Linked DNA regions of Rhinolophus ferrumequinum. The protein of the gene in region 1 interacts with the protein of each later gene in a pairwise test. Links are inferred from orthologs where the notes say so. Each region holds a gene or a part of one and is shown in the gene's direction. Other genes may lie near its edges.

Region 1 (9,818 bases):
CCCTGTTTGTGGTGCGCTGTTCCAGTGGCCCACACTCTGAAGGGTTCACGACTTAGAGCTAAGGAGGAGAAAACAGGAGGAGCAAAGGGTATTTAGGAAAGAGAGTGGATTGATGTGTGGTCCTGGAAAAGCAGAACATTTATGTCTGATGGATCAGCAGCTTCTAGAATGAATCAATAACTGAACATTTCCAGAGGCTCTGCTAAAAGCCTCTTCCTGAATCTAATCTCCAGAGCTGAGAATGTGGGTAAATGCTTTAAATATTATTTACTGCAGCAGCGAAGTGGGCACTCAAGTGGAGCCCAGTGGCTGGATCTGAGTTGAAGCCTTGCAGTTTTCCCTCTTGTAGCCTCAGTTTCTCCATCTATAAAGTGGGACAGTGGTCCCTGCCCCAGCTGGTGCTTATGGGAAATGGGTGTGAGGTGCTTTGTGCTAACACGTGGGACAAGGGTTGCCTGTGGTCACCGAGTTTCTGTGCAGACAGGATTACAGGTGCTGAAAGTAGGTAGAGACTAAGGGCACAGCGTAGGTGGAGCTCCCCAGGCTATCCGAGGTGGGCTCACCCAGATATCCTGAAGGTTGGGGTTTTCCATTCTGGCCCTTTTTGACGACATTTCCATTTGTGCATTTCCTTAGTCAGGTCTGCCTCCTTTTCCATTCCAACCTTCGGAGCTGAGCAGAACCTGGCACATTTGAGAGTTTGTCCCAGGGTTCTGAACATGTGCAGGGCTGAGGGCCCTTCCTGCAGGCAGGCAGCCAGATCTGCCTGGTCACGGGCCTGGCCTTCCCCCTGCACAGGTGACAGGCACAGAGGCTGCCCCATCGGCTGGGTGTCAGCTGCTCCTAGGGGGACCCTATAAGCCCACCTTCGGCGGGACTCCTGCTAACAGGTCCTCCTTTTCCTGGGCATTTTTGGAGTCGTGTGGTCCTGGCTGGGCCAACACAGAGGCGATTCCGGCGGAAGTGACCCTCTTGTCCCAAACATGATTGTGAATCCACCAGATCATATGGAGATTAAGAAATCTGAGAGAGAAAACAAGCATGAACAGTGTCCACAACTGCACTTTACACAGACAGGTGTGTCTGGCAGCTGGGGACTGGGGGAGGAAAGAGGAAGCCAGTTCAGAAGTGGGATGTGGGGCCCAGGCTGGTTTGGGTGAGCCACCCCAGCTTTGGTGTGGAAGTCCCTCCCACCTCCACCCCCGGGGGTGATGCCCAAGGGAACAGGGCCAGGTGAGCTTAGAAAGGCACCTGTAGAGAGGTCTGGGGCTGCCCCCACCTCCATTCCCATCCCCCATCATGCTGTGCATATTCCCAGGGTGCCCCCCCCCACAGTCAGCTAAGCCGAGCTTCGAGAGGCCTTCTCCTGGCCAGGGTGGGATCTAAGCGGGCTTGTGACCTGAGAGATAGAAGCCCAGTGAAGCCGGGGAGTTTACTGACGGTGGGAGGTGAGAGGCTCTTTCTTCTAGACAATGAGGTACAAAGATGTGATATGTGGAACCAAGCAGGCATTTCTGCTCCTACCGGTGTTTCCCCAAAAATAAGATCGGGTCTTAATTTTTGCTCCAAAAGACGCATTAGGGCTTATGTTCAGGGGATGTCATCCTGAAAAATCATGCTAGGGCTTATTTTCCAGTTAGGTCTTATTTTTGGAGAAACATGGTACACAGGGAGCCAGGCTGAGGTCTGAGCATGCCAGCCAGAGGCAAAGGTAAGAAGGCCCCAGGACATGGAGCCCCCACCATGGCAGGATCCAGGAGTGTTCGGGCACTGCAGGCAGAATTAGGAGGGGTAGGCGGATGAAGACCAGAATTCCTTCTGGACCTGTGAAATCCAGCAGCTGGGTGTCCACGGTTTCCTCCCTCATTCATTCACTCATTCATTCAGTTTAGCCTCCGTTGACTGAGAACCACCATATTCAAGAACCTGAGTCAGGTTTGGGGTCTGTGGGAACAAGGAGGGGCAGAAGATACCACAGGAATTAAGGGGGGTCTGTGCCCCCAAAGGCTCAGAGCAGTTGTGACAGGAGTCTGGCCTGACTGGATGGAGCCAACAACCTTGGAGAAAGTGGTAGGAGGCCGGAGGAGGTCACGCTCTGTGGAGGGAGCTCCTGGGGACGTGAGGTCAGGCGTCAGACAGGCTCCTGTCCATAGAGGGGCTTGCAGCCGGGGGCCAGGAGAAACCTGTGCTGCTGTGGGACAGACCTGGCACCTGCGTGGCTATTTTTGTGTAAAAACCGGAAGAAGCTCTCCATCTGCTGTTCTCAGGTGCCCCATAGCTTGTCCTTGAACAAGTCCACCCCCTTCTGGGATTGGCTGGCTCAGGTGAGAATCAGGGGTGGCCAACGTGCTGTGGCCACAGGGCCCAGCGTGCTGCAGGGGTGTAGTTACACAAGGGGAAGTGTTTGTCAGGACTCATCCATGGTAGCCTAACTGTGCATTTCACATTGCGTACGTTTTCCCTAGAAACAAATACTCAACTCCGTTAGTGATACGCATGCTAAAAGTGTTTAGGGGTGAAAGGGTGACGTGTGTGCAGAGCTTCAGTATATGGGGGGTAATGGGGGCAGGAACATAGCCCTATGATGGGGTCTGAGCAGCCCACCTGAGTTGTGACCCCCCGCCCCCATCTAATCTCCCTCTGCAGCCTGGAGTCCCCAATGTGCTGGAGCAGGGTCCAGAGTGGGGCTCCTGCACTGCCAGGCGATTGCTGATGGTGAGGACCCTGCATGCATGCATGCCCTCCCCACTCCTGCACAAATGCCCCTGGCCACCTACCACCAACCTGCCCGCACACACACCTCCCCCCCCACCCCACCACGAGGGGTTACTTGGGAGCTTCCCATCCATCCATGCATCCAGCTGTCCATTCAAATGGCATCTGATGCAGCCACTTTAAGTCCCCTTCCCCACTCCTGGTTTCACACTCTCCTTGCCCTGGCTCCTCATTCCCTGCCCCCTTGCTGACTCTCACCCTCTCTCACCTCCCGCCTGCTGCACTGGATGCAAGTAAGTTCATTGTACCCTGGGGAGGGTTGGGGATACCTGACTGATGTTTGCAACTTACTCTGAAATGCATCCAAAAGAAAAGAAAAGTAGAGAAAAGAAAAAGATGGATTCGTGGATAGAAAAAGGGTTGGAGAAATGGAGAGACAAGTGATAAAGCAAATAGGGCAAAATATTCATTGCAGAGTCTCAGGGGGGTACATGGGTGTTCACTGCACAACTTTTTTCTGTATGTTTGAATGTTTTCATAATAAAATATTGAGGGGGAGGAAATCTCCAATGCAGAAGACCAGATTTCCCTGACATGTCCCTGAGACCTGGCCCCCAGGTCCCATTGTTTATCTCCATCATAGTGTTTATCAAGCCACACTGACATGGTTTCAGTCACAGATGCTGTCACCCCCCCCCCCACCCCGCTCCTGGCACACCCTGCTTAGATAACCGCAGGAACAGGTCCAGTCTCTGCACTTTTTCTAACACATGTCATGGTTCCTTGCAAGGACGTGAAGTAAGAAATATTCTCCTGGGCACTGGGAGTAGTACCATCCCTAGCAGCTGGCTCTGGTCCAGGGCCACATTTGGAGCTCAACACGCCGTGTTAAATGTACAAAACACACACACAGCCAGATGGCTCTTTTTACAGCAGAGACTGCAGTCCCTCCCTGCCTGCCCTTGAGCTCAGTCCTCATCTGGAGACATCCTGGGTCCACAGATGGCTCTGTGACCTGGGCTGGACCCTTCAAGATGGCTTCCTTCAGGCCTGGTGCCCCCAGGGGACACTGGAAGGCGGGGCTCTCCATCAAGGAGCTGGCCTTCTTACATGGCAGCTCAGGGGTCCCAGAAGCACAAAAGGGAAAGCTTCCAGGCCCTCTTACAGTTGAAGCCTGGAACTGGACAGCCTGCCCCAGCTGTGTCTGGGGATCAGGCTGGCCCAGTGGGCCTGTGGGCGGGGCTAGGCAGGAATGCAGGGGACTCTGGCCAGTCCTGCTGGAGCCCAGCTTCACCAAGCAGGACCCAGGCCTCAATTCCCTGCAGCTAGAAATGTGTGAGAGAGACAGGGAGGGCTGGGCTTCTCCCTGGAGCTCTCCCACTTCCTCATCCCCCCTCTTCCACCTCAGAGGGGTGCTGTTTCCCCTTTGTCTGAGGGAGCAGTCAGTGGAGCTTAATGATGGCAGCTCACCCTGGACCTCTGATAAATGCCATTTTCAGAACTGAAGCAAGATACCAAACAGGGCATGACTTGCAGTGCAGAGCGAGGCAGGAGGAGCCCAGACTGGCCCTAAAGCCAGGCTCCTCTCTGGGCCCAGAGCAGCTGCCACTCATTGGTGAGCCTTGGCAGGCCGGTCAGTGCCCAGGCTGGGGGAGGGAGAGGGTTTGGGAGGGGCAAGCGTTCTGCAGGCACCAGACCTAGCTTCTCTCCTCCCTTCCTCCTCCCCCTTGCTTTTCCCCTTCCCCCCCTCCCCTCTTCTTCAGGAACTCATGACTGGGGCCACCCACTGGACTGCAGACCACTCCCCCCACCCCCCACCCCCGGCATGCAAGGGAAATTCCAGCATCCTTGTCTCCCACAGGGCTGCCCCTAACGCATCCACGGACATTGACAGTAAAAAGGTGACTGCTTTAAACAAGTGACAGCATCCCTCCACTTGCCACTTGAGACGAATGAGACTGTGGTTTGTTCCGTCCTTGTGGGGGCACTGCGCTTTTCTTCCTGCACTTCCTACCCAGGTCCCTCCCACCTGCCGTGTGATTGTCCCTCTTCCATGAGTCCTCTGATCCCTGAGGGACGACAGCTTCCCCCTCAGCACCTGACCCATGCTGCATTTTGATACCTAAAGCTGAGTTGATCCCTCTCTGGGACTCAGGAAGCAGCCTGGCACTTGCAGGGCCTCAGTGGCAGCATCTGTGAAATGGGGATGGTGGTGCCGCTGTTGGAGCTGCTGTGAGTATCAGAGGACTGAAAGTGACTGAGGACACACAGGGCAGCACGGGCGGGCGGCTGGAGTGGGCGTTTGCTAGACTCTGTGAGACCTGGGGATGGGTACACGGCAGCGTTTCCAGGTCCCGGAGGGGCGGAAGAGAGTGGATGAATTGGCCTTTGTTTCCCCCAATTCTCCAGACTCACCCCTGCCTGGAGAGTTGTGTCTGGAGTGCTGTCAGTTCACACCCTGTCCACCTGGCCTCGTCTGTCACTTCATCTTACCTTCATTCTCTGCATGGCACTGCAGGAGCAGGAATCTCACTAGCCCGTTTACCAACGAATCTTGGCTCTTAGCGTGGGGACCACTGCAGCTCAACAAATAAATACTTGTTGAGAGGATAAGAGAGCCAGATAAAGCCTAAATAGAGTGGCAGCAATGGGGACAGACGGCGTGGGCTAAAGCAATATTAGTGAGGTAGACTCTTGGCCACCCATGGGTGCAAAAGTACAACTGTGGTTAAAAAGGTTAAAGAAGAATTTGCAAAAACCGCAATTACTTTTGCACCAATTTAATAGCTTGGGGACAGTTGCTGAGCCCAGAGTCACAGAGGCAGAAAGGAGCCTCGTGCAGCCCGCTCTGCTCTTCCCCAGAGCACTTTGGTGACAGCTGCTGTGCGCAGCCTCCAGGTGGTTGTGGGGAGCAGGTGACATCCAAACTGGGGTGTGGCGGGATCACTAAGGGAGTGTGGAGGGGCTGACTCTGATTCACTGCCTCTCCCTGGGCCCAGTAACGCTGTGTCACCGCAGAGCTTCCCTTTTTCGCAGACCTTTGCATTTTTAAATGAAAGCAAAGTAACTGGACCTCCCGGTGCTTACTTCCCGGTCACTGCGTAATGGCAGGGTTAAACCTGCTGCGGGTGCGGGGTGATAACATCTGAAGAGGACAGTCGTTCAAAAGGAAGTCGGGGGTGGCGGACTGGCTCAGGAACCCCTCTGGTTAATAATGCCGTGGGGCCCTGCACTGAAGACCTCGGCAGGCACCTGGAGGAGGGGGTTCTCCCAAGCTGGGGCAGCCAAAGAAAGCTGAGCCCTGCCCACTGAATCAGCACGTCCCCCTGGCTGGCTGCTGAGTCAGGCCTGCAGAGCTGGCGGCAGCAGGATGAGGCCCGGCAGCGCTCTCTGACCTGGAAGCACTGCCCTTCAGGCCGGGCGGGAGGTCGTGGCCACTGGCGATGGCTGCTGTCGGGTGGGACAGCAGTGGGTGGCATCTCTGCTCGGCCAGGCACCAGCGGTCAGGCGGCCGTCCCTTCCCCTCCTACCCGCCTGAGGTGCAGTTCATGCCCTCGTGCTGAGGGGAGGGCCTGGGAAGTCCGCAGAGCTTTGATTCTGGGGGGCCAGGCTCTTGGAGGAGGGAGAGGGGCCCCTGGGCTTTGCCGAGCCCCTCGGGATCCTTCCTTAGAGGGCGGGAGGAAGCCCTCCCGGCGTTCTGGAAAGACTCAAAGGGGCACAGGACGCGTGAAGACAGGGCTCGGCACACAGCGCACGTTATTCCCGAGCTGTGAGAGCGGGAGCGGCCGCGCAGGGGAGGCAGGGCCGGCCCGTGCTCCCGCCGCAGTCCTTCCCCCTCGAGGGGAGGCCGCCACCGACCGGCGCCTCGCCCCTCTGCCCACCCGCGGCGGCGGGCCGGGTGACGTCACGGCGGCGCGCGGCATTGTGGGGCGGGGCGCGAGCTGGGGGAGGGACGCCGAGACGCCATTTTCGGCGGCGGGGCCAGAGCCGGCGGGGCGCGGGACGGCTGCTGCGCGAGGGAGCCGAGGGGACAGCGCGCGCGGGCGGCCGAGGATGCTGCGGGGCGGCAGCGCCGGCGCCCCTCGCTCGTGACCGCGGCGCCGCGCCTGAGGCGGCCGAGGCAGCGCACCCCGCGCTCTCCCGGTCCGCGCACGCGCCCGTGGCCTCCGGTGCTGACAGCGCGAGCGCGCGGCCCGCGGGAGCAGCACGGTGAGTGCGGCGGGCCTCGGGCCTCAGCCGTGTCCCCTCGGGCCGCTTTCCGCCGCGGGCCCCGTCCCCGTCCGCGTGCATTCCTTTCCATCCCCGTCCCCAGCCGCCGTCCCTCCAGGCCCGGGTCCGCCTCGTCCCCATCCCTCTGAGGTCCCGCAGCCCCGCCCCAGCATCCCTGGCTCGGCCCCGCTGCGGGCGTGGTGGCCGTTCCGGGAACAGCTGCGGCTCCGGAGCCGCGCGGGGGGCTGTGGCCGCCCCCGGGAACGCGGCGCGGCGGAGCGGGGGCGCCGGGAGGGGCGCCCGCTGGGCTTCGCTTTGTCCGAATCCTCCCTCTTCCTTCCGGCCGCCGCCCTCTCCGGCGGCGCCGCCCTGGGCGGACGCGCCTGTCAAGCTCGCGGGCGACGCGCGACCCGGCGGGTAGGAGGCGTGCGGGGTTCCCCGGAGAGGCCGGCGGAACCTCTCCTGCTCCGCGACCCTTGCGTTCACTAGGCAGACGCGAAACGGTTCATCCACGGTGTTCACCCGGGCCCGCGGGGCTCCTGCTAAACTTGCAGTAGCCCGGTCCTGGAATAGTTAGGCGGTGGTCAGATTTGGTGCAGCTCTTTCCTTAAAAATATTAAAATAAAGCATTAAAAAGGTAAAATTAACGCCTGGTGGATTGCATGGCCTCATAACTTGAACTTTGTAGATCCAGGTAGTTTTCTTAGAAATTTTGTGGTGTTGCTTATTGCTGTTTCGTTCTTCAAACAGCTCATTAAGACTACATATTAAGCGTTTGATAAGGAGTACTTGCAAAAGTCATTTTTTAAAAGTGTGTGAACAACAGAAAATTTGACATAAACCTTTTAAAATGTTGTGTAAAAGGGCAGTTGGTTCTTTGACTCTCTGCACGGACCCAGGGCTTTTTCCTTTAGCCATCGATCAGAGTCATTACCTCAAAATACATTGTAACAGTTCAGTGAGAAACCCATCGGGAAATTGGAACGACATCCTCAAGTCTCACAATCTTATTACAGTTCTGGATTTACCTATTTCAGGGACTGGCAACAAGGTCGGAGTGGGAAAATTGATTCATTGTTCTGAGTCCTAAGTATCTAAGAATACAATGATACTAAGCATTGCAAATTTCAGATTGTGGGGAACTAGTACACGTGGGAGGGCAGGTGCTCTGAAGAGCCGGTTCCTGCCACCGTCTAAGTGCAGCCTCATGTTGCAGTGGGCCTGGCGCCCTTTGCCCTGTGTTCCCCAGGGCTGTGGAAGACCCTGGCCGGTGACCTCCCCTTGCCTGGCAGTGTCTTCCCAAAGCACCGTGGACCTGGTAAAGGGAAAAGGATAAGCATGGGAGTCAGGACAGTGATTGTCTCCAGCAAGGAAATGCCACTGGGGGGGTGGGGAGGGGCACGTAATATCTTCACTATGCCACAGTAAATAAAACCTTGCCCACGGTGACTTAAAAATTGTACGTTCTTAAGCGTGTTTCATATGTGAAAAACAGGTAAGTCAATATGTAGCTTTTCATGTGGGGCTATAAACTGTCTCAAAATAATGGTGTACAAAGAATACCAGAAATAGAAAAGTAAAAGGTTCAATAAAATGTAGGATTTGTATAATCGGAAAACACGCGGAATATGGTAAGAAACCGGAACTTTATGTAATAAAGAAGTGTTAGTAACATCGTAAATGAAAGTACAGGAAAGTGTTAAATGTCAGATGGTTAGCATATTAAGATTGTGAAAACATGGTCTTAAACATGGTCTGTAGAGACCCAACTGAATGGCAGGTGATGTGCTAATTAGTAGCTGGTGATATGGAGATAGAGACAGTCGCTCCTTTAGGAGCTCACAGTGTGGAGGGAGGCCGGAAGTGGAGGAATGCCGCAGGTTAGGTTAGCTGGTGCCGAGTGCCCTGAGGACAGATTCCGAATGTGAGATGGGAAGAAAAATACAAATTGGCCAAATGACGGGTGGGGTTGGAAGTAGTGGCTCCGGAGGACGGTGGTGCTGCGTGGAGGGGCCTGCTGGGTGGGGGGAGAGGGGGAAGAGGAGATCGGAAAGGCTGTGAGAGTTTGCCTGGGGCGTCCCTGCGTCCTGCGCGGAGGAAGGAGGACGGGGGATTCTCGTAAGGAGTCCCGTGGCGTTTCGGAAAGAGCCGGGTGGTGCGGCAGGTGCTTTGAACTGAGAGGAGACTAGCTAGGAAAGCATTAACCCCAAGTGAGGACGGAGAGCTTCTGAGTTAGGGTAGTGCCAGTAGGACCAGAACAGATGGATTAGTGCCCTTGATTTGGGGCTGGGTAGATGGAAGGGTGGGGCTGCAGGGGGAAGAGAGTGATGGGTAGCGTTGGCAGCCAGAGCAAACTGCTAAACCTGAGTGGGGTCATGACGCCCTGCTGAAGTTTTTGCCAATGTCCGAGAAGCACCCCCGCCCGTCTCTCCCTCGTCTCCCTGCTCATCCCGTCTGCTCCTCGGGTTATCGGTGTGTCCACGCTTCCCCACGTGGTCCTTAGCCCTTCTCACGACCTATTACATGCATAATTTTCTTTTGTTCTTTTCTTATTTAGTTTATTGTCTGTCTCCTCCACTTACCTCCATAATCTCCACGAGGGTGGGGTGTTTACGGATCGTATTCATTCTTGGTGCTTGGCATGAAAGCACTTAATAAATGTGTATTGAAGGAATGCATCTGGAATGACTTGCTCTTCTCTAATATGGTGACTCACTGGCTGGTGACACCCACCAAGATGGGGAGCCTGGGAGGAGGAGGAGGACACTCAAGCTTGGTTTTGGGTTGGGTAAATCTATCCAAAACGTGCAGGTGGGCAGCTGGAGAGGCAGATCAGGCCCTCAAGACCAAGACTTAGGCTTGCAGGCAAAGATTTGAGAGACCTCATCATACTG
Region 2 (9,673 bases), on another chromosome or scaffold:
TCACAGACCGGTTTTGATTGTGAATGGTTCCTTTTTTCCTCTCGTCCTTTTTAAGTCTTGGCCTGTGCTGTTCAGCAATAATATGGACGGTTCCTTTATCTGCAAGGCCCAGGTACATCCAGGTAATAGGGTTATTTCAGTCCTTCATTTGTCTTACTTTGTTCCTGTTGACATTGGGGAAAAGATGCTTGAGAGCCTTGGGTTCGTAGGTGTGAATTCTTTAATAATACCTAAAGAGCTATTCTAAAACACCGGCTTTACAGAAGGGACTATTGACTTTGGTCTGTTTCTGACACCTTTCTAAAAAAAAGCCAGTCACTCATGTACACCAAAGAAGAAAAGTTTGCTGAGGCCGCCCTTTATAAAGCTTTGCAGAACCTCTGGACCACATTCACAGTTTCCAGGAGAGACTTAGAGACCTTAGGCCAGGAGAATAACTAGTTTGGCTGCAAAACCTCAACTGGCCAATTCCATATTTGCCCAAAAAAAAGATAATGGGTTGGCAAGAGTCGTGTTGCTTTAATCTGTCAGGCAGACGTTTCCCCCTTTCAGCCTCCTAAGGGCTAGTCTATTCACTCGTGTGGTGGTGGCTGTTAAAAGTGCCTACAGAGCTAATAATGCCAGGTGCTAGAACTGTCTTCGTCGTTATTAAAATTGAGAAAAGCAACAACTGTTCAGTTACATTCACAGTGGCCGGGCGACACACTTAAGTGCCTGCACGAGCCGCCTGCCAAGCCCCACTTCTTACAGCCCCACTTCTTGAGGGCATCCGCATGTGGCTTTGTCAACCAAAGAGTCTTCCCTCCTTTCAGTTGCCCTGCTGTCTTTGGAGCCAAGAAACACTCACTCCATGTGACTTTGTCAAGTACTTCCTGTCTCCATCCTTCAAATGGTCGTTTATAAGAATATTGTTTGGAATTCGGAGTATTTGTTCCCCCATTTCAAAATGTCATAAATGGCAGTGAGCTTTTAAGCGCAAACACACTAGTTTAACTTATAATGAAATGTTCCAATGGTGGAAATGAACTGCAATTTATAACTCTTATTTTTTAATACAAGAGAGTGATTTGTGGATTCCAAATTGGGTTGCCAGAAAGAATCCTGACACTGGTGCTGGCCCTTGGGGTTTCACCCCGACCCTCACTGTCGGCGGAATGAGAGACTCTAGTTGTGTCCACTGGCAGCGATTTCTGGGGTGGAGATGGGGGAATGCAGCGATGGGAAGAGAGGCCTGGTGGAGTGAGGGAAACGCGCTATAGGAAGAGCCTCTGGGCAGCAGTGACAATTCCCTGCCTTCTGTTTCTCCCCATCTTCCCCCCCTTTTCCTTCCTGGGGCTGCAGCAGTGCGTTTAGAGTGCCTGGGTGGTCTGGTCACCGTGAGAGGCAGAAGACAAGTTTGTGCTCACATGAGCCCCGGTAGGGGTGGTCACCTGTATTTGGAAGATTTGTTAACTTTTAGCATCCTGCTCCCAACCTCTAAGCCGCATTGAGAAATTACCAGTCTGTATTTTTATTAAGCCTGAAAAACTTTTTATGTGCATTTGGTGCCAACTTTTTTTCTAGGGCTGTATCAAAAACAACAAGAAAGCTGTACTCACCTCACAATGTAATTTTGATAGGAAGACTTTGTTACTTTTACAAGGTGGAATTGGGTATAACAGTTGAATAAAACTTAGCAATCAGGTACTCAGCATCTTTGCCTAGTGTGTGTGTACCTGCGCTTTCCTCAACATCTATTCTCCAGAGTGCCTGACCTCTGCTCCTTCATTGATGAAGGGGTTTGCCTTTTTTTTCTTCCCCCATTTAGCCAGAGGATGCCCAAATTAATCTCAAAGACTATAGACTTAGATTTTTTTCATTTGAAAACCAAAGACTTAGCTTTGAGTAGAATGAGCGGGAATATGCAAGTGTTCTTTACAGTTTCTATAAGTTAAAGATTTTTTTTCTCTTCCACCACTTTTTCCCTTAAAGAACTGAAAGTATTGAACTTGCCTCTGAGTTGGCTTTGAAATGCTCCAGTGACAAGCCTTGTAATAAATAGATGAGGTGCTGAGCTATTAGCATTTGCTTGTAGGTTCAAGCCCTGCAGAGAAAGCAGATTGAACATCTTTCCTTCTTACAGTTATTTTCCTATGCCCTACAAGCAAACATAATGTACATATGATGTGGGTTCAGGAGGCTGAAACCTCAGGCTTCCCACCTGGAGAGTTCCCCTATAAGAGGCTCCACTATTCTGCCTGCTGAATCGGGGCCGACTACCAGGACAGCACTTCAGAAAGAAACCCAACATGAGGTTCCCAACACAGTCTCCATTTGTTCATCTGAAAACATGTTTCGGGAGTGCAGAGCTTGTTCCAAGAACTGGATTAGGCTCTGGCAGCATTACATTACCTATTTGTAGCAGCCACTCCAGCTGCAGGTTAGCACTGAGGTAGTGTCACAAGCTGTTTGTCTCCAGAGGTGAGGCAATGGCTAAGTCTGAAAGGACTAAGGTAGTTCCATCTGTGTTGTGGTGGGGGTGGGGGTGAAGCACATCAGTGATTGCCACTTCAAGTCCTGTGCCTTGTTCAGAAATAACACTGGCTCTTTTGACAGGGCATAGCTTGTTCTATTATCTTTGGCAATCAAACCTTTAAGGGTGTGTATACCTCCTGTGTTACCCAGTTCATTTCTTCTGAACGCACTACGTTCTTAATCTTGAAGCATTCTTAGAGATTAAGAATGAAATATTCCTCTTTCATGTGTGACTAAAAAGTGCTATCTAAAATTAAACATTAGGAAGAAGTGAGGGACATTACAGGGACCTCAGTGACTTTAGCAGGGATTAGAGGCAGATGCTTAGAAATCAAAGTAGAACTTTTCAAACCTGTGTGCCCATCTTACATTTTAGAGTCTTGTAGTGAGAAAAACAAAGTTGTATTCCAAATTATCTTTACAAATCTAAAAGGAAGCCTATTAAGAAGTAAGTTCTAATTCAGTTAGTTTCAATTCTCGGGAGTGTTCTAGTTGCATTCTAAAGTAAGTATAAGGGCGAAATTCAGGGAATCAATAACGCAGTTAGACTTAGCTGGTTTGTAGTTTAACTCACTGCATAGCTTGCTATCTAGCCACCTGTAATTAGACTTAGTTTGCAGTTTGAGCTATCCCGATACTCATGTTTTCATTTCTCCCCTCACTGATTAACTGAAGAACTCTGTTCCCTTGCTGAAGACTACCCTACCTCGTAAATGAATATCCTAATCCGGGAAAGAGCAATTTCTTAATCCTCAGGCGCCCGGACGCTGGAATCCTATTTACAACTTCTTGCAGTTTTTACTGGTTACGCATTAAAGTGTCAGGCCTCAGTGGCCGAGTTCGAGTCCAGAGTCCGGAGATAACATCGTCTTCAAACAGACTAGGCCCCAGGAAGGATGTCAGCCCTAAAACCTACCAGACTCCCCCTTTCCTATATAGAAAAAGCTAACCTGAGGTTGGTATAGCTATCTACTCTAAGACTCTGGACTCTGTCGCGGCGACTCCCACTCCCGTGTTTCTTTCCTTCCAAGGCAGCTGTCATCTTTGGACACTGCCATGGGCATTCTCTCTGCACTAACTTTAATAAAAACTTCCTTTGTAGAGTCTGGGACTGCTTTCACCTTTTGCGAACGACCAGGGGTTAATTCCGTGCCACGACAGTAAGCATCAACAATTATCCAGCATATCATCTTAAAACTTCATTTTGATTTAACCAATCGCAAGGAACAAATCAGTCTAACCACGTTAGTAATAAAAACATAAAGTTGATGGCCAACTCAGTTGGCTTCTCATTGGGGTACTGGCAGCTGCCAGAGGTCAAATTGCTGAAAAAGGCCGAAGGCTGAAGTCTTTAAACATTCCTCAAAACATTCTCAAACTTTCTCTGTAACTTGCTCACCAGCAAGAAAACATTTCACCTGTTTGTCCTGGCTCATTTTGAGGATATTGAACAATTCTACATAACATTTATCACGTGCTTCCCGTTTGCAAGAGACGTTTCTAAGCCCCTTTCATGGATTAGTTTATAACATTCAGAGTAAGTTGGTAATGTTTTTAGGCTCAGTTTTACGGTTTGGAAATGGAAATTTAGGATCATTAATGTACTTAGTAGCTAGGATCAAAACCCAGGCAGTCTGAATCAGACTGAAACTTCACTTTACCTTTTAGTTAGCAAATTAGGGTGAGCAAATTAGGCTGTAAGGGGAAAACGTGTGTGCTAGCGTTTAGGGCAAGTTCACTGACTGGGTGCAATCAGAGTAGGATGAGAGGATCTTAGGATGAACTGACCTCGAAGCATTTTGTTAGGTGAAAGGCAGGGGTGAGAGCATTTCTGTTAGCGTGAAGCTGTCACTAATGGGCTTTTTTTTAAAAAAAATTAGAATTTCACACTACCAGTGTGGCCTCCAAGCTGAAAGTTGAAGTCTTGGGTTCATGCTTTCAGAAAATCAAATAGGACAAATAGAAATGTAACATACAACCGTTGAAATTTAAAACTCAGTGGATGAGGTAAACAGCTAACACACAGCTGAAGTGAAACTGGGAAATCGAGGGAAGTGACACAGAACGCAGGACATCGAAGCGGACTAAGTGAAAGCTTGTTCCTGGATTTTAGGATGAGACGGACAGCTTGCACGTGACAGGAACCCCTGGAGGGACAGTGAATCGTAGAGCCACTGTTTGAAGAGCTGGAGTGCTCCCTGTGTGGAGGGTGCACTACTGTGTAGTAAAACTGAAGGGAAATCAACCAGGTCAGCACCATCACCACCTCGAGGGGTGCACAGAAAGAATGTCCGTTTCTCAGTAAGGGAGGATGGGTGCACGGATGCTCGTTTAAGTCTTTAAACCGCACGCAACCGTCTATAGATGCTCTTGGGACAGATGCTAAGTCACTTTGAAAGTGAGCCGGCGTCTGGGAGCTGCAGGGGAACGCGATTAAGGCGACAGGCGCTAGCGGCTCGCAGCGCGGACAAGCCTGACCGGAAGTGCACCCTGCCCGGCTCGGCCGAGCTTCCGGCCCAGAGACCACCTTCCTCGTACGTCACGGCCCCTGCGACCCCTAGTGGCGCGGCGCTGCGAGGCCGCGGCGAGACCGGCGGGCACCACCCCCTCTGGCCGGCGGGCGGGACTTCCGGCCGCTGAGTGACGGGCGCAGCATCAGGACCAGCAGCAACGGCGGCGGCTGAGCCCTGAGGCGACAGCGGCTGCAGCGGAGGCCACGGGCCGCGGGCGACGGGCAGCCGGGGCGGACGCGCCGGCAGACAGCGAGCCGCGCTGGCGGCGGCGGTGGCCGCGATGATGGAGATCCAGATGGACGAGGGCGGCGGCGTGGTGGTGTATCAGGACGACTACTGCTCCGGCTCGGTGATGTCGGAGCGAGTGTCGGGCCTGGCCGGCTCCATCTACCGCGAGTTCGAGCGCCTCATCCACTGCTACGATGAGGAGGTGGTCAAGGAGCTCATGCCGCTCGTGGTCAACGTGCTGGAGAACCTGGACTCGGTGCTCAGCGAGAACCAGGAGCATGAGGTGGAGCTGGAGCTGCTGCGCGAGGACAACGAGCAGCTGCTCACCCAGTACGAGCGCGAGAAGGCGCTGCGCAAGCAGGCCGAGGAGGTGCGTGGGCCGGCCGCGCGGGGACCCGCGCGGGGACCCGCCCGGGGACCGCGGACTCCCCGCCCCGCGCCGCCCGGGCCCCCCCGCCCCGCCCTCGGCCCCGCCCGGGAACCCCGCCCCGCCCGGCCCCCAAATCCCCGGAGCCCGGCTCCCCTTTCCGTCCTCGCCTGGTGCTCCAGCCCGGGGCTCGGAGCCCGGAGCCCTGAACCCCCAGGCGCCACCCAGAGAACTGGCAGCCTAAAAAAGTCCCGAGCCTCTGGCCAGGCCTCGGTCTCCTCTCCGATACCCACCTCTCACTCCAGGCGCCAGTTCTTTTTGCGTTTGTGTATATTTTGCAAACCAGTTTCCTAGACCCCAATTACTCTCTCTGGTTACTGCATTTCTAAACCCTCCCCGAAAAGGGATTTCTGATCTTACGGTTCTGCAGCGGGAAGAGGGTCTGTTGTCAGGAGATCTCTTCCTTGTCCCCACTCCAAGGTTTTGAAGGTGTGTGACATGGGTCAACTTGATAATTGGCGTAAACACATAACGAAAGCCACAGTTAGTTCGGCTGCTCCGCTGGCACCAGGTGAAAGACTCCAGGTTTCTGGAGGTGATTTCTTTGCCCTGTAGTTCCCTCAGTTGGGAAGGGAGATTGTTAGCTCTCTGTGGAAAAGGTGAGAAATTCCAGTCTGGCTTCTGAGGAGCTGGAAGTCGAATTTTGAAATATTTGTGTTCTAGGATATCTCTATAACCTGGAAGTCACTTATTTGTGAATCCGTTAGAGGAACTGTGCATTGTAGGGAATACCACTTAAGTTCGTTGATCATCAGATACTTAGCGCTGACTAAATCTGTGCCAGACCCAAGGGGACTCAGGGGACGTGGGTTCCCATCCCTGCTTTGCCTCTGTGACCTTGCCCACGTCTTCTGCCCGCTCTGCATTTTGATTTCCCATCAGTTGAATGAGTCACTTGCTCTAGATTTTCTCTAAGCTCTGACATTCTGTTATTCCAGGCATTAGGTGATGCTCTTTGATTTATGAATAGGAAGTTTCTTATTAAATGAGCTAAATTCCTTTGCAGTTAGTTTGGCTGAATGCATTCTTGACTTCAGCACTGAAGTCCAAGATTGTTTCAGTATTTCGCCTTTTTCCTGAACCAGAGTGGTTTATGCCTTAAGCCCAGTTTAAAGCATGTTTATGAAGATTAACAAGGTCTTGTATTATTCCTACTTAGAGTGATTTGTTTTGCTTTTGGGTTTTATGTGTCTGTCAAGAAGCTGTTGTCTATTGATTGGGGTGCCAAGCTCCAACAAAACTGAATTAAAGCTCTCAAGGGGATGCAAGAGCTCGTAGGATTTTTGAGTTCAGTGTGGTCCTAGACATTTACTGGGGAAGGAACTGGCTCCGTGAATGTGGTGGGCGGCCTGGACCAAGGTCCCACGTGCCAGCAGAGCCAGGTAACGACCCAGTCTACCCTGACTTCTGGCCTCGGCTCTTCCTTCCGTGTCATGCTGCTGTGGAAGGTCAGAGAGCTGCACCCCCAGAGGACTGGAGGCTGGGGCTCCCCTCGCCCACCCATGGGGCTATGGCTGCCTGCCTAGTTGGGCAGTGCCCTCCACTTCTCTGACCACTTTCGGTAGCCATTTGATGCCTGGGGTTTCAAGTAGGTTTGTTTTCTTTCATCTGCACTTATGTGGTCTGTACACAGTGGATGAGAAGGAACTAGAAGGGAAAAACCAAGATGGACACTCTTGAGGCTAAGAATTGTAACCTTGTAGCTTAAGAATTAGCTCTGCATGGATGCGGTCTCTGCTCTGCTCTGTGCAGTTCAAGTGCAGCCACAAGCGAGTGTACGTCTGGCCTCCCACCTACACTCCCCTGGACTGAGCTGGGGGCAGGGGTGCCGGGGTGCGTGTGGTTTGGAGGAGACTTCCTCTGAGGCTGAGACCCACCGTCGCCTGAGCTATTAGGAGCAGCTCCACAGAGCTTCCATGAAGCAAACAAATGCTTGGCCAGCCAGCAACGAGGCTCTGATTAGATGTGATTAGATGTCCACCCGTGGAAAGACCTCAAGTGATGTTATAATTAAAGAAAAGGGCCACATCCTGTCACCATTTTGGCACGCTAGCTCGTTCATGAAACCCAGCAGACATGCATGTTTAGTTTTGTGGAAAGGACCAGTGTGCACTGAATTGAGATCACAGATATGTATCTGATAACACAGGAGCTGGCAGGCACGTCACAAGCTATAGGCATGTTCGTGTTGCAGAGTAGCTCCTGTGTCCCGGCCACTGTGCTCTGGAAGGCTTAGTCAGAGCTGGGTAACCTGAGCTGCCAGCAGCCTTGTGAGCAGACAGAACCTGCAGATTTTTTTTGAAAGGCTTGAGCAGAGCAAACAACCCTGTCCTCTACTTTTGCCCGTAAAAACCGCAGCAAGAGATTGCAAGTATGTTCTGATCCTGGGGTGGCTTCTATGTCCTGGGATGGCTCATTGCATAGGAGTGATGGTAGCTAGAGATACTGGGGTCCAGGGAGAGGGCCGAAGCCCTGGAGTCCCCAGATGCAGGCTTGAGTGCCACCAGCCCTGCCCTTGGGAGCTGCATGCTCAGCCAGCCGGTCTTCCCCTCTCTGGCTGCAGTGGCCGCCTCTGTAAAGCAAGTGGGTTGCCAGACAGGGCACGTCGCTTTCATCTCAAGTGCCAGGTCCCACTGCTGCCTGTTGTTTGTCTGGAGAATTGTGGAGTCAGGGAGGAGCACCTTAATGGATTTGTGGGGCAGCTTTCGTGGACAAGCACTGGGCGTCTCAGTCTCTGATGGTGCAGGTTCTGTCGGTAAGCGAGACCGGTGAGTCCTGCTCAAGCTTGCAGAGGTAATTGGACCTACAGCTGGCTTCTGTCATTTCTACAGAGGCCTTAGCAATGCTGAAAGCTTTTAAAATCCACCAAGTTCTTTCCCATTAGAAAAGAAGGTTGGAAATGGGCAGTTGAGTGAGCTAGCTGGAGAGCTAATAGATGCCCCTCGGTAGAGTTGCCCAGGGTAACCTGACGGGGGAAGTAAGCGGAGGGCTCCATGCGCTCTGTTTCCCTGGCCTGCAAAGAGCTCTCTTCCTTGCAGTGAGCAAGCACTTAACTTACGGAAGGAAAAATAAGGTTTGCGAGACAAGGTGTGACTTTAGTAGCCATCATTTGCCTTAAAATCTTCTTTGCCCTGAAGAAACTGCTAGCAACACCCCCCGTCCCCAACCCAACGCACTACAAGCAACTCCAGTGGATGTGTTGTTGAAGAGACATATATGTAGGTTATTTGCTGACACTGTGGCATTTGGTGCTGTGTCAGGAAAGCACATGACTGGAGGAAAGTTTGACCCCAAACTGTTGTTTTCTAGTTATATAAAAGTACTCCATTTCATAGAAGAGCATTTGGATAGGATCAAGCTGGAGGGGGAGAAAAGGCACAATCTTGCTCCATAAAGATGATCGTTTTGCCTTTTTTTCATAGGCAAATTAATACATTGCATCAGAAGTTTTTCTAGTAAGTTCCCCACTTCTTGGACAAGGTATGTGATGTGTTCTGCCACACTGTAATATGAAGAGCAGTTTTTAAAAACTGTTTTAGATAAAGCCATTGAGATTTGGTGGTGGAGCTGCCATCTTTCCTGCCTCCAAATATTGGTCCATTGTAGCTGTGCCTGACTCCAAAAATATAACAAAGTCTCCCCCCCAAAATGGAAAAAATAGGCGTAGGAGAGTAGAGAGGTGCTCCCCAGCCAGAGGCAACATGTGAGGAAGATACTGCTTTGGTCCGGAGGCCTGCAGCCCTGCAGCTCGGCCGGAACTACCAGGGCAGGAACCTTCTGGGGCCTGTGGTGGCAGATAGACAGCATACACATTCGTTCATCCAAATAGGATTTCTAAGTTAAATTTAATGTCTGTGGTTTTTATTTTTAGGTTGTTAAAAACTTTCTGTTTTTTATACAATGTATAGAAAGGTTGCAAAAATCCTGCTTCCCACCCGGATTCACCAGCGAGAGCGCTTTCCCACGTTACTCTTCCTCCACCCCTCCCTCT
Region 3 (10,068 bases), about 48 Mb from region 1:
AGGGCAGTGAAGATCACAACCTGTGACTTTTTTTCCTAACATAGATTGAAATGAGAAGCTTATTTTTGGATAGATTTATTAATTTAATAAAAAGGTCTCTTATTTAGGATGCCCCTGAGACTCCTTTAGAAAATATATTATACCCTTGCTATAAGAACCTAAAAATATAGTATGCATTTTTATTAATACTTTAAAAATACATATAACTATGCCAAGACATTGGTTTGCTGGAGAATGACATTTTTAATAGTCAAAACACGAAAAGAATTATTAAAATGACAAAAGAGGAACAAGTTTTAAGTGATTTCATTTCAACATGTGTCCTCTATTCCTCCAAAGAACTGAAGCAAAAACTATTATAAGAAGAAGCAATCTTATAAACTAAACTTTGAAAGAACTCCTCATTTTCAGAAATGCCCTTAAACAAAAAATATCAATTCAAGGCAATGCCTGAGACTTCCTGGGACTGCCATCTGTTTCTTCATTTGCTGTTGCCTGTTTCCTAGTCTTAGAGAATTCATATTGCATATGCATATTGCATATTGGCGTAGACTTATGTATGTATATGGATTGTCTTCTTTTTTATGTCGTTTTAAAAAAAAGATAAACAGTATTATGTAACGTGTAATTTTCAGACGTTTGTACTTAAACATCCACATAACATTTTAGTGAATTCCTAAAATTTAAGAAAAGGAGATGATAAGCCCGGCTTTAGGCAAAAAGCTAAATTAAGTAAAATGAGTCTTTGGTACCTCATAAATTACTGACAAGGAAACTGAAGGTCTGGGGAAGATGGGTAACTTGTCCAAGGTCACAGAAACTATAGCAGAATAAGGAATAGAATGCCTCTCCTAATCCCAATCCAGTCCCCAGTCTTCCATTTTAGCATAAGGTTTATGTGTTAAACCCTTCTATGAAAAAGAATTGCATTTAAACATGAATCAATGTCATAAGCTAATTAAGGAAAGACTAATAATGTAATTTCAGGCATTAGTCATCTTATTGATTCAAATTCACCCCCACACTCTCTCATATCCCACTACACACAAAAGATAAAATTTTGTAAGTTTTTAAAATAATGCCTGGGTAAGGTCATTGTCAGGTGGAATGGCAATCTCACAATTTTACATATATGTGTACATATATTATACATATATGTATAATATACATAAAATACACATATATGTGCAATATACATACAACGCACACACATATAATATACATGTAATACACATATATGATAATCACCTTTTAATTTTTATATTTTTATTAATTAAAAATACATTTGCCTCACATAGAACCATGTTAGCACCTTGTTTGTAAAATAGAATAAAATTCCCTATTGACTCAACAGTTGTTTGTGTATTTTTAAATGCATTTGTTTTCTTGAAACAAATAAAATTATGCTTTGACTCTAAAGATGCAGAATAAATGATTAATGCTTTGGTGAATGGCAGTGTTATATCTGATTTTGTGTTAATTGATGTAGAGACTATAATTGATTGCAGAAGAGTTTACCTTAGTTGATCAATTCTCACTTTTATTTATCCAGCTCAGAAAGAATTTAAAAAGTATTATCACTGGTAAAAATCATCATCAATCAATCAATCAAACTCTGCTTTTTTCTAATTGGAGGCTATTACTTGTTTGTATGTTTCTAAATATAGATGGATATACTTCTACCAACAATTCATATCTTAAAGGAGAAGAGAGAAATCGACTTCCCTCTTCAAAATTAATCTTTATTTTAGTAATATGCCAATTATGGTGATTGTAATAAGTAATTGGCTTATTTAGTAATAAGCCACTTATGTCTCAGTACTTTTGCAAAACATTAATTAATAAGCGATTATTTTTGCAAAGACCCCTCTTCAGGGTAAATGGAACTCTGTCCATCATCTTCTATCCAAATGATAACCATGATCTCCAATCTAATCGTTGGTGTGATTTTGCTAAATTTCATGCTTTTATATTATAAAATGTATATCCTCAGGTAGTTTTAAATTCATATTTGTCATTTCTTTTATGATATTACAGACACATCTTCACAGAGGACTTGAATATGGACCCTAAGATTTGTTTATCCTATTAGTTTTGATGAGTGATCTAAGGTAGTACTAGTCTTTCCTAATTTGTGTTGGATAAAATGTACATCTCATCCTCACGACTGTGTCTAGATCTGAACTGTTGCTCTCACACGATTTCAACCCATGGCCTAGCTATTTCCCTGAACAAGTTGAATCCTTCAAGTCCTGTGAACTAAAATTCTCCAGCAAATAAGCCTAGTTTTCCCCTTAAATGGCCATAATCTAACTGCATCTGGAAATATTTCTTACTGTGTTTCCCCGAAAATAAGACCTAATTGGAAAATAAGCCCTAGCATGATTTTTCAGGATGACATCCCCTGAACATAAGCCCTAATGCGTCTTTTGGAGCAAAAATTAATATAAGACCCGGTCTTATTTTGGGGGAAACACAGTACAAATATGTGCTGCTGCTTCCCTCTGTGTACTCTGTGGAATGTGGAAGCATCACACAACAGTGATGTGTAATAGTTGAGTGCAGTCCAATTAGATTTTCTGAAATAGGGAAGCACATAAAATAAATTCTGTCTGGAACCATTTCTTTTACCTGTTCATTGTAGAAAAGAAACTTGTCACCATGCCAAAGACAAAACTGCTGCTGGGTTTAGTTTTGAATTTTATAAAGTGAATAAGTGAAAAATATATACACGTTCATCTCATATTCAAGTTATGAATAATTAAATGAATATATAATTATATCCAGTTTTACCCTCAAGCTCAACCAGCAAAGACATCATCAGCCCATGTAAAAAGGATACTTCGTATTTTTTCAGAAATTGAGCTGCCAAACGTCACTGAATTTGTATGCTCATAAGCAAAAATAATAATCTGTCTATAAAATTATACAGTGAAGAGTATAGCAGCATTCAAGAGTTTTATCTAATGTACATTATGACTTCTGGAACTTGAATTTATGCAAGCATTTTCTTAGTGTTGTCTCAAATGTCTTCTTCATCTCTCATCATACCTCTGGTCCAAGTTGGGGTGGGATGGGGAGCAGGCACAGACTCAGCACCTCTTCAGATCTATTTTGGCTGAACGCTTTTGTTTTGATGTATGAAGTATGACAAAGTAACATGAGTGATTTTAGCACACGCACTAAAGCATATATTCAAATGAGTGTTCCGTCAAAGTTGTTCTCTTAGGACTTATCCTAATAATGTTGTCATTGTACAAGACATGTTTCAATCTCTTCTTTGGGAGCACAATTATAAAGTAATAATTGATTGCTTTCCCATGTTGCTCATTTTAATGGCTCCGAATAAATCCTTGGCATTAAAATAATCCTTTTTTCAATCTGGCCTTCGGCTACTTATTTTTGTGGCTGGTTTTTCACACCCACTCATTGTCCCACTGCTTGTGCTCCAGGCAGGAAGAAGAAGGCAGTTCCTAGCAGCCACTGTGTATTTGTACATGTCAGTGCCTTTGCTTGGAAGATCCTCCTCTTATTAGTAAACTCTTTTGCTGTGACGTTTGGATATTTTCCTGTGGCTTGCACTATCAACAACAAAGATGTTTTGTATGCCACATTGTTTAACAGAATAAATTTTTGTAATAGATTGTAATTGCAATAGATTTTTTTATGTCATCAATGCCATTAGATTCTAATTTATCTATACTTTAATTGATGCCACTTAGTATTTTTTGCTAAAATTCAATGGTAAATTTATTACCATATTACAAAGGTTTAAAATGAAAATGTCGTTTATGTACAAAGCAGCTCAAAATGTTATTAAATGCATAAAATAGTCAAAATATCGACTTTTTATTTTTTGTGGATTTTTGACACATTTTGAAAAAAAAACTTGAAATCAATGAATGCAGTGAAAAAGTTAAGCTCAAGATCACCTCCTTCAGAAAGTCTTCCTTTACTGACCCCACCTCCCACCTACCCCCAATCTATTTTGCTCCCTTCTATTTAACTGCCAGTTAAAGTGTCAAGTTCACCTCAATCCACCAAATCGTTCACTGTCTTCATTTGCCCCTCTTCCTGACGAGTCACTGAGTTCCTTGAAGGTAGATATTGTGACGTTTTTATTTGTGACATCAGAGCTGAAAGGTATTGACTCACAATATTATTCAATAAAGGTTTGTCCAATGATGACTTGTGAATGGATGCAAAAGTCTGTCAAAAGGTTTGTGAATGGATACTTGAATGAAGTGGGTGACCTAAGACAGCAACTTTGAAGGTAAACATTCATTTGATGCAGACCTCCATGAGTTCAAGAACTACTGGATTATTCAATAAATGATGTTAGGCAAACTGTGTCATCAGTTTAGTAAAATCAGATTCCCTACCTCATGTAATAAGCATTTATACACAATTCCAGTTGGATTTAGTGTTCATATTTTTTTAAAGATGGAACTATAAACAACTATGACTACTTGTATAATTTTAGGGTGAGGAGGGCCGATTTAAACATAACACCAAAGCCATAAACCACAAAGGATAAGGTTGATGGTGGCTCTGAGCTAATGTATTACTTTCCAACTGATGCCTCTACTCAGGGACTGAAAGCCACACTTCTTCCTCCTGAATTATTTTCCGAATTTTTAAGTCTAAGTATTCAAGTCTGCCTATTCAAGGAGGCACATATAAAAAACAAATGATTATAAAGATACAGTAAAGATTATCCAAAAATCTGGAAACACAGGGTAAATAGTATCCTTTTTCTACCTTTTTCAGATTAACAATTGGACCTATCGTTTAAGGTATTTCACCTAAAAGTTGAAGGAAAATATATTGAGCATATTATTTGAAAATGTTAACTAGTATATTGTTTGAAAATATTAGTTCTGTTTCTGACTTTTTAAACATTCTATAAAGTGTAACTTTTAACTATAAAAAATGGAGCAACCTAAATGTTCTATAAGTAATTGTTAGTACATAAATTATCCATATTAAAAATGATGTTGAAATATACTTATTGACCTGAAAAAAGTGTATATTTTGAAATGAAAAGAAAAAATTAGATCCTAAACTGTTAGATACAAATTATTTTAATTTAATATAAATTAATACATTTATGTATATCCTGAAACGATATACATAAATATATTAATACTGTTACCTTTTTTGCCTCATCTGTAGTTTCTAATGCTTCAACAATAAGTATAGATAATTCATGAGATGGGGATAAAAAGACAAACAGAATGGCTTACTCAAAACCAAAGCAAACACTGATCGAACTTATTAAACAATAAAGTTTCTGAAATGAGAAACTGAAGATTACACTGTATATGATTTGCAATGATTTTCTGCCACCCTGTGGAGAATACTACCCATTGCAGGACTGAAATAAGCACAATATGCAACTATGAAATATCTGTAATTGTAGGTGAAATTGCTTACAGGAACAGGCCCAAGAAGTTGTTCAGTGAAAGCTGTTTATCAATTGATTAGTTTTGTTTGTTTTCTCTGCTATTTAACAAAATTTCTAGGAGGCAGATAATAATTATCTATGATTACAATATGACAAGTACTGATCTAATGTATATGACTCTCACAAAAACCCTATGAGATATTATTTTTTTCCTGTTTTATAGATGAAACACAGAGAGTTTAACCACCTGCCAACAGTGAGTAAATGTTAAAGCAATTAAACCTGGGAGCTGCATTGTGGGTCAATGATTTAAATTTTTGAGGTTTTCAGTTCCTCTCAGGCCCCATTCCCGAATGCCTTATGCAAATAGTTGACTGCTGCTCCTTTGAAGGGATTTAGTGGGTGAGATTTCTGATGGATCATGATATTCTCCAAAGTCATCTTATTTCCTTGAAGTTGTAGAGCAGGGTTGCTGCTCAAAGTATGATCCATACACTTGGGCCTTTCAGAGAACTGTTAGTTACTGGTCTACGGTAAGAACAGTACAGAAATTGAGTTAGCATTTAGAAATCTTGATGACAATTTTACAGGTAATTTGATGACTACAGACTCTAAGGATAAAATGTTTCTAATGTTTCTATCTTACCAAACCATGGTCCATGACTCATTGAAAATTTTATTAAACAATAAATCGATCGCTCCAGCCTACATATAGTTTGAGAAGCACTATTGCAGAGCAAAGTTGTGCACCCTCGAGTTTTACCAAAGTCTGGATTCTTCTGAGGTCTCGTTCCCCAAAATGAGACCTCAGCTATTTTTCCTCCCCTCATTTCATCCATTTTATAATATACAGTTATTGTAGCAATCAATAAAGCCAACATAAATAATATTAAAATCGCTCTTTGAGACGCTGGGAGCGTCAGCACAGATCAAGGAAGCGCCTGCAGCGTCAGAGGCGCCGCCAAGAAGGCGTCAACTGCTCCCGCCAGTCAAGCGGGAATTTCGGGCGGCCGCTCAGGCGCATGCGCAGGCGGCGGTCCGCGACGGCTGGGGGGGGAGGGACTGTCGGGCTTCAAGGAGACGCCACGCCCCCGCCCCCGCCGGCTGCTGCGCCTGTAGGCGGTGGGGATGCAGTCACTTCCTCCCGGGCAGCTGTCTGCATCCGGGTCAGCTGCTCCGCCGCCGCTACCGTTGCAGCTGTGATCGGGATACCGGGCCCGGGTCTCCACTGCCGTCCGAGGGGAGCGGGCTCCGCTCGGCGCTACTACTTTCTGCGACCTGGCCGTCAGCCCCACGTCGCAGGCCTGGAGGGGCGAAGAAGACGAGGGGGCCAAGGCTTCCTCCGGGGTGAGTGCAGCTCGGGAAAACTGGGTACAGCGGGTCTGGGCGGGGAACAGGCCTGGGGGCGGGCGTCTGAGGGTCTCGTGTCCGCGGTCGGCGGGAGAAAGGAAGCCCAGAGGATTATCCTTTGTAGGGGGCGCCATAGAACCTGCCCGGGAGACGCTTCCCGGATCCCCGCCCTGCTTAGGCCCCCGCCCTTGGCTCGGCTCCTGTTTGCATTTACCATCCTTGTCCCCCCCCCCCCCCCCCCGCCTATCCATCCACCCCCTTTTCCGTTTGTGGTGGTTTTGCTTGGAATGGAACCTGCCCGCTTCTCGGCCCCCCCGCACATACCCGGTCTGGGTGCGGTGACTGGGCCACGTTGGTCCCCTGTTATGACCGGCGTCCGTCTTGGTGTAGAACAAAGGAGGTTGGACTTCTGATGTGCCTCGTACCCTCAGAATAAAACACGGAAACGGCTTTTGTAATCAGGGCTTTTATAGATCTCTTACGCGAAAAAGCCGGGTTCCTGCGTTGATTCAGGCACTACCTTTTGCCAAAATAACGGGCAAAAATGATTTGGGTTTCCTGGATGCATCTGATGCCACTGGAGATCTATTAGCCCAGCTCATGTTAAATGAAAACTTTATTTGGGTCTGTTACGTTGCTTTGAAACTTCCCTTGTCTGTCTGTCCCGGGAGTTCTTTGAGGGCATAGCTTTTGTCATGTTCATCTAGGTAGTCATAGCGCCTTCCATATAGGTAGTTGAAGTGTGGGTGCATTTTAGTGGTTTTTCATCCTCATCGTTTTTGATTAGGATCTCTATTTCTCCTAATGCTTAATTTTTTTTAAATTTTTTAAAATTAAACGTGTTCGTTTTGTAAATGAGTACGATTCCTCAAAATTGTAACTGAAGTTACCCAATTTAGTTACCTTACAGACTGTTTTCTTGATGATCTTACACATCTTCTCCTTAGTTGTCATTTTACGTTTTCTCTAAACTATTCTTGGTCTTCATAATCTCTGTTGCAGTCTAATATTGTTGGGCTTAGACAGGAAGTATGACAGGTCCGCTTCTGCAAACATAGAACTTGAACTAGATCACCTGTAGGCATTACAGCTTTGAAGCTAAGTGTAACCAAATCTGGCATTACAGGCTTATTCTGTATAAAGTTGCCAGTGAACTGGAGATACTGTGCTGTGTTAGAAACAGTCTAGGTCTGGGAACCAGGATATAGTGTTATTTGCCTCATATATAAGATAAAATGAGGATAATAACACCAGTGTTTTATACTTCATAAAATTATTGGTTGGTACATCGGAGATGATGAATGTACAAATGGTTAGTAAACATGAAAAGCATCCTTTGGGAAAGCAGTTCTCTTCATTTCATCTGAAGTAATGCTGGTAAAAAGAAGTGAGAAGGAAGGCATTTAAGAAAAGTAGTATATTTAGCCAGATCTAATAAACTAACCGTGGTTGACAGTGGATCAAAAGGTATTTTGTTAAGCTTATGTAAAGCAGAATACTAGTATAATATGACGATATTACAAAATTATAATATTTGTAACTCTGCAACAAAGTGTCAGAGATCAGTTATTAGACTTAAATCATTTTAAAGGTCTCAGAGCATCTCCAGTATGTTCTTACTGTTAATAAATGTACCTTTTATAGGTGGCATAATTATACTTTGCTTTATTTTCACAATTTTGAGAAAAGTCAGCACGATTGTAATTTTTCTTGAATTTTGTCTGAACATTTCTGATAGAGTATCTCATTTCATTTTTTAAATTGAGGTATAATTGACATGCAGCATTTTATTAGTTTCAGCTGTACAACATGATTCGAGATTTGTATATATTATGAAATATGAAATGACATCACCACACATAGTTACAAAAAATTTTTTTCTTGTGATGAAAACTTTTAAGACCTGTATCTTAGCAACGCTGTATGTTAGCAATGTTCAAATATGTAATACAATATTATTAACTATAGTCACCATGCTGTACATTACATCTCCAGGACTTACAATAACTGGAAATTGGTACCTTTTCACCCCCTTCACTCGGTTTGCCCCCCGCCTCTATCATCCACCAATATGTTCTCTGTATCTATGAGCTCAGTTTTGTGGTTTTTTGTAGATTCCATATATAAGTGAGATCATAGAGTATTTGTCTTTCTCTGTCTGACTTACTTCACTTTGTGTGTGTATGTGTGTGTGTGTGTGTCTGTACACACACCACATTTTCTTTAACCATTCATTCACTGATGGACGCTTAGGTGGCTTCCATATCTTGGCTATTGTAAATAATGCTGCAATAAACATGGGGTGCATGTATCTTTTCAAAATAGTGATTTCATTTCCTTTGGATAAATACCCAGAAGTGGAATTACAGGGATCATGTGGTAGTTCTATTTTTAATTTTTTGAGGAACTTTGAAACTGTTTTCCATAGTGGCTGCACCAATTTACATTCCCACCACCAGTGCAGGAAGGTTCCTTTTTCTCCACATCCTCACTAGCATTTGTTATTTCTTGTCCTTTTGATGGCTATTGTAAGGTGACATTGTGTCATTTCATTCTTAAAAACCTACGTAACCTTGCTCTCAAGAAAGCATGTAGAATTTTTTTCCAGGGGTGTTTTGGTGATCTTCATAAATACATAGGATGGCCTAAATTATTTTCCTGTGGTGCTACCCGTGTTGCCAGTCTCATAGAAAAAAGTGAACATAAATATTTAGGATAAGTCCCTTTCACTTAAATGGGGCAGTGAAAGCCTTGCCTGGGCATTTCCTTCTGCCAGTTGTAATTGATTTCAGCATAGATGTGGTTACCTATTCCAGCAGTAGTGTTAAACTACATAGTAAAACTACCATGTGAAATTATAATTCAGACATTTTTAAATATGATCTTAATGTTTAATTTTTGCTTATATTGCTAAGCTGCATGGGGAAAACCCCTTCTTGGTTGAATTTATCACTACACCTGCCTTCTGAAGGTGTGTCAAGAGGAAATCCATTATCTCCTTGATTTTTAACCTCACTGACGTGAGTCTGAATTTTTATCTGTGACCTCCACTTATACCTGACATCAGTAATAACGTGCCACAACTGCCACAAGTCTATTGAGAAATCAGGTTATTCCTGTTGCATTAGGTTATTTTAACAAATAGCATTGCAAAGTATTATTTCCGCATTCTAATTTCCAAAGTCTATGAACAAAAAAATGGGAAACAGCCACAGTTAACTTGTGTCAGCAGTATCCTGATTTCCTTCAAAGTAGTTGTGCTTATATTGCTCCTTTCTTGTTTGTTTCCTGTTCTTACAGTTGCTGATGAT

Evidence for each region.
Region 2: the proteins of KLC1 (region 1) and MAPK8IP3 interact in binary tests that used the Homo sapiens proteins (3 or more experiments, as listed by UniProt). The link is inferred for Rhinolophus ferrumequinum from reciprocal best matches to the Homo sapiens genes KLC1 and MAPK8IP3.
Region 3: the proteins of KLC1 (region 1) and BNIP2 interact in binary tests that used the Homo sapiens proteins (3 or more experiments, as listed by UniProt). The two-hybrid records come from large-scale screens. The link is inferred for Rhinolophus ferrumequinum from reciprocal best matches to the Homo sapiens genes KLC1 and BNIP2.

The regions. Positions count from the first base shown.
Region 1 is NC_046289.1:1,652,747-1,662,564, reverse strand, and holds the start of KLC1 (kinesin light chain 1), read left to right. Parts: upstream 1-6,168; 5' UTR 6,169-6,254; intron 6,255-6,727; exon of another isoform or gene 6,728-6,924; intron 6,925-9,818. UniProt on the Homo sapiens protein: Kinesin is a microtubule-associated force-producing protein that may play a role in organelle transport. The light chain may function in coupling of cargo to the heavy chain or in the modulation of its ATPase activity.
Region 2 is NW_022680357.1:3,489,568-3,499,240, forward strand, and holds the start of MAPK8IP3 (C-Jun-amino-terminal kinase-interacting protein 3), read left to right. Parts: upstream 1-5,179; 5' UTR 5,180-5,307; coding exon 5,308-5,625; intron 5,626-9,673.
Region 3 is NC_046289.1:50,124,132-50,134,199, forward strand, and holds the start of BNIP2 (BCL2/adenovirus E1B 19 kDa protein-interacting protein 2), read left to right. Parts: upstream 1-6,479; 5' UTR 6,480-6,754; intron 6,755-10,068.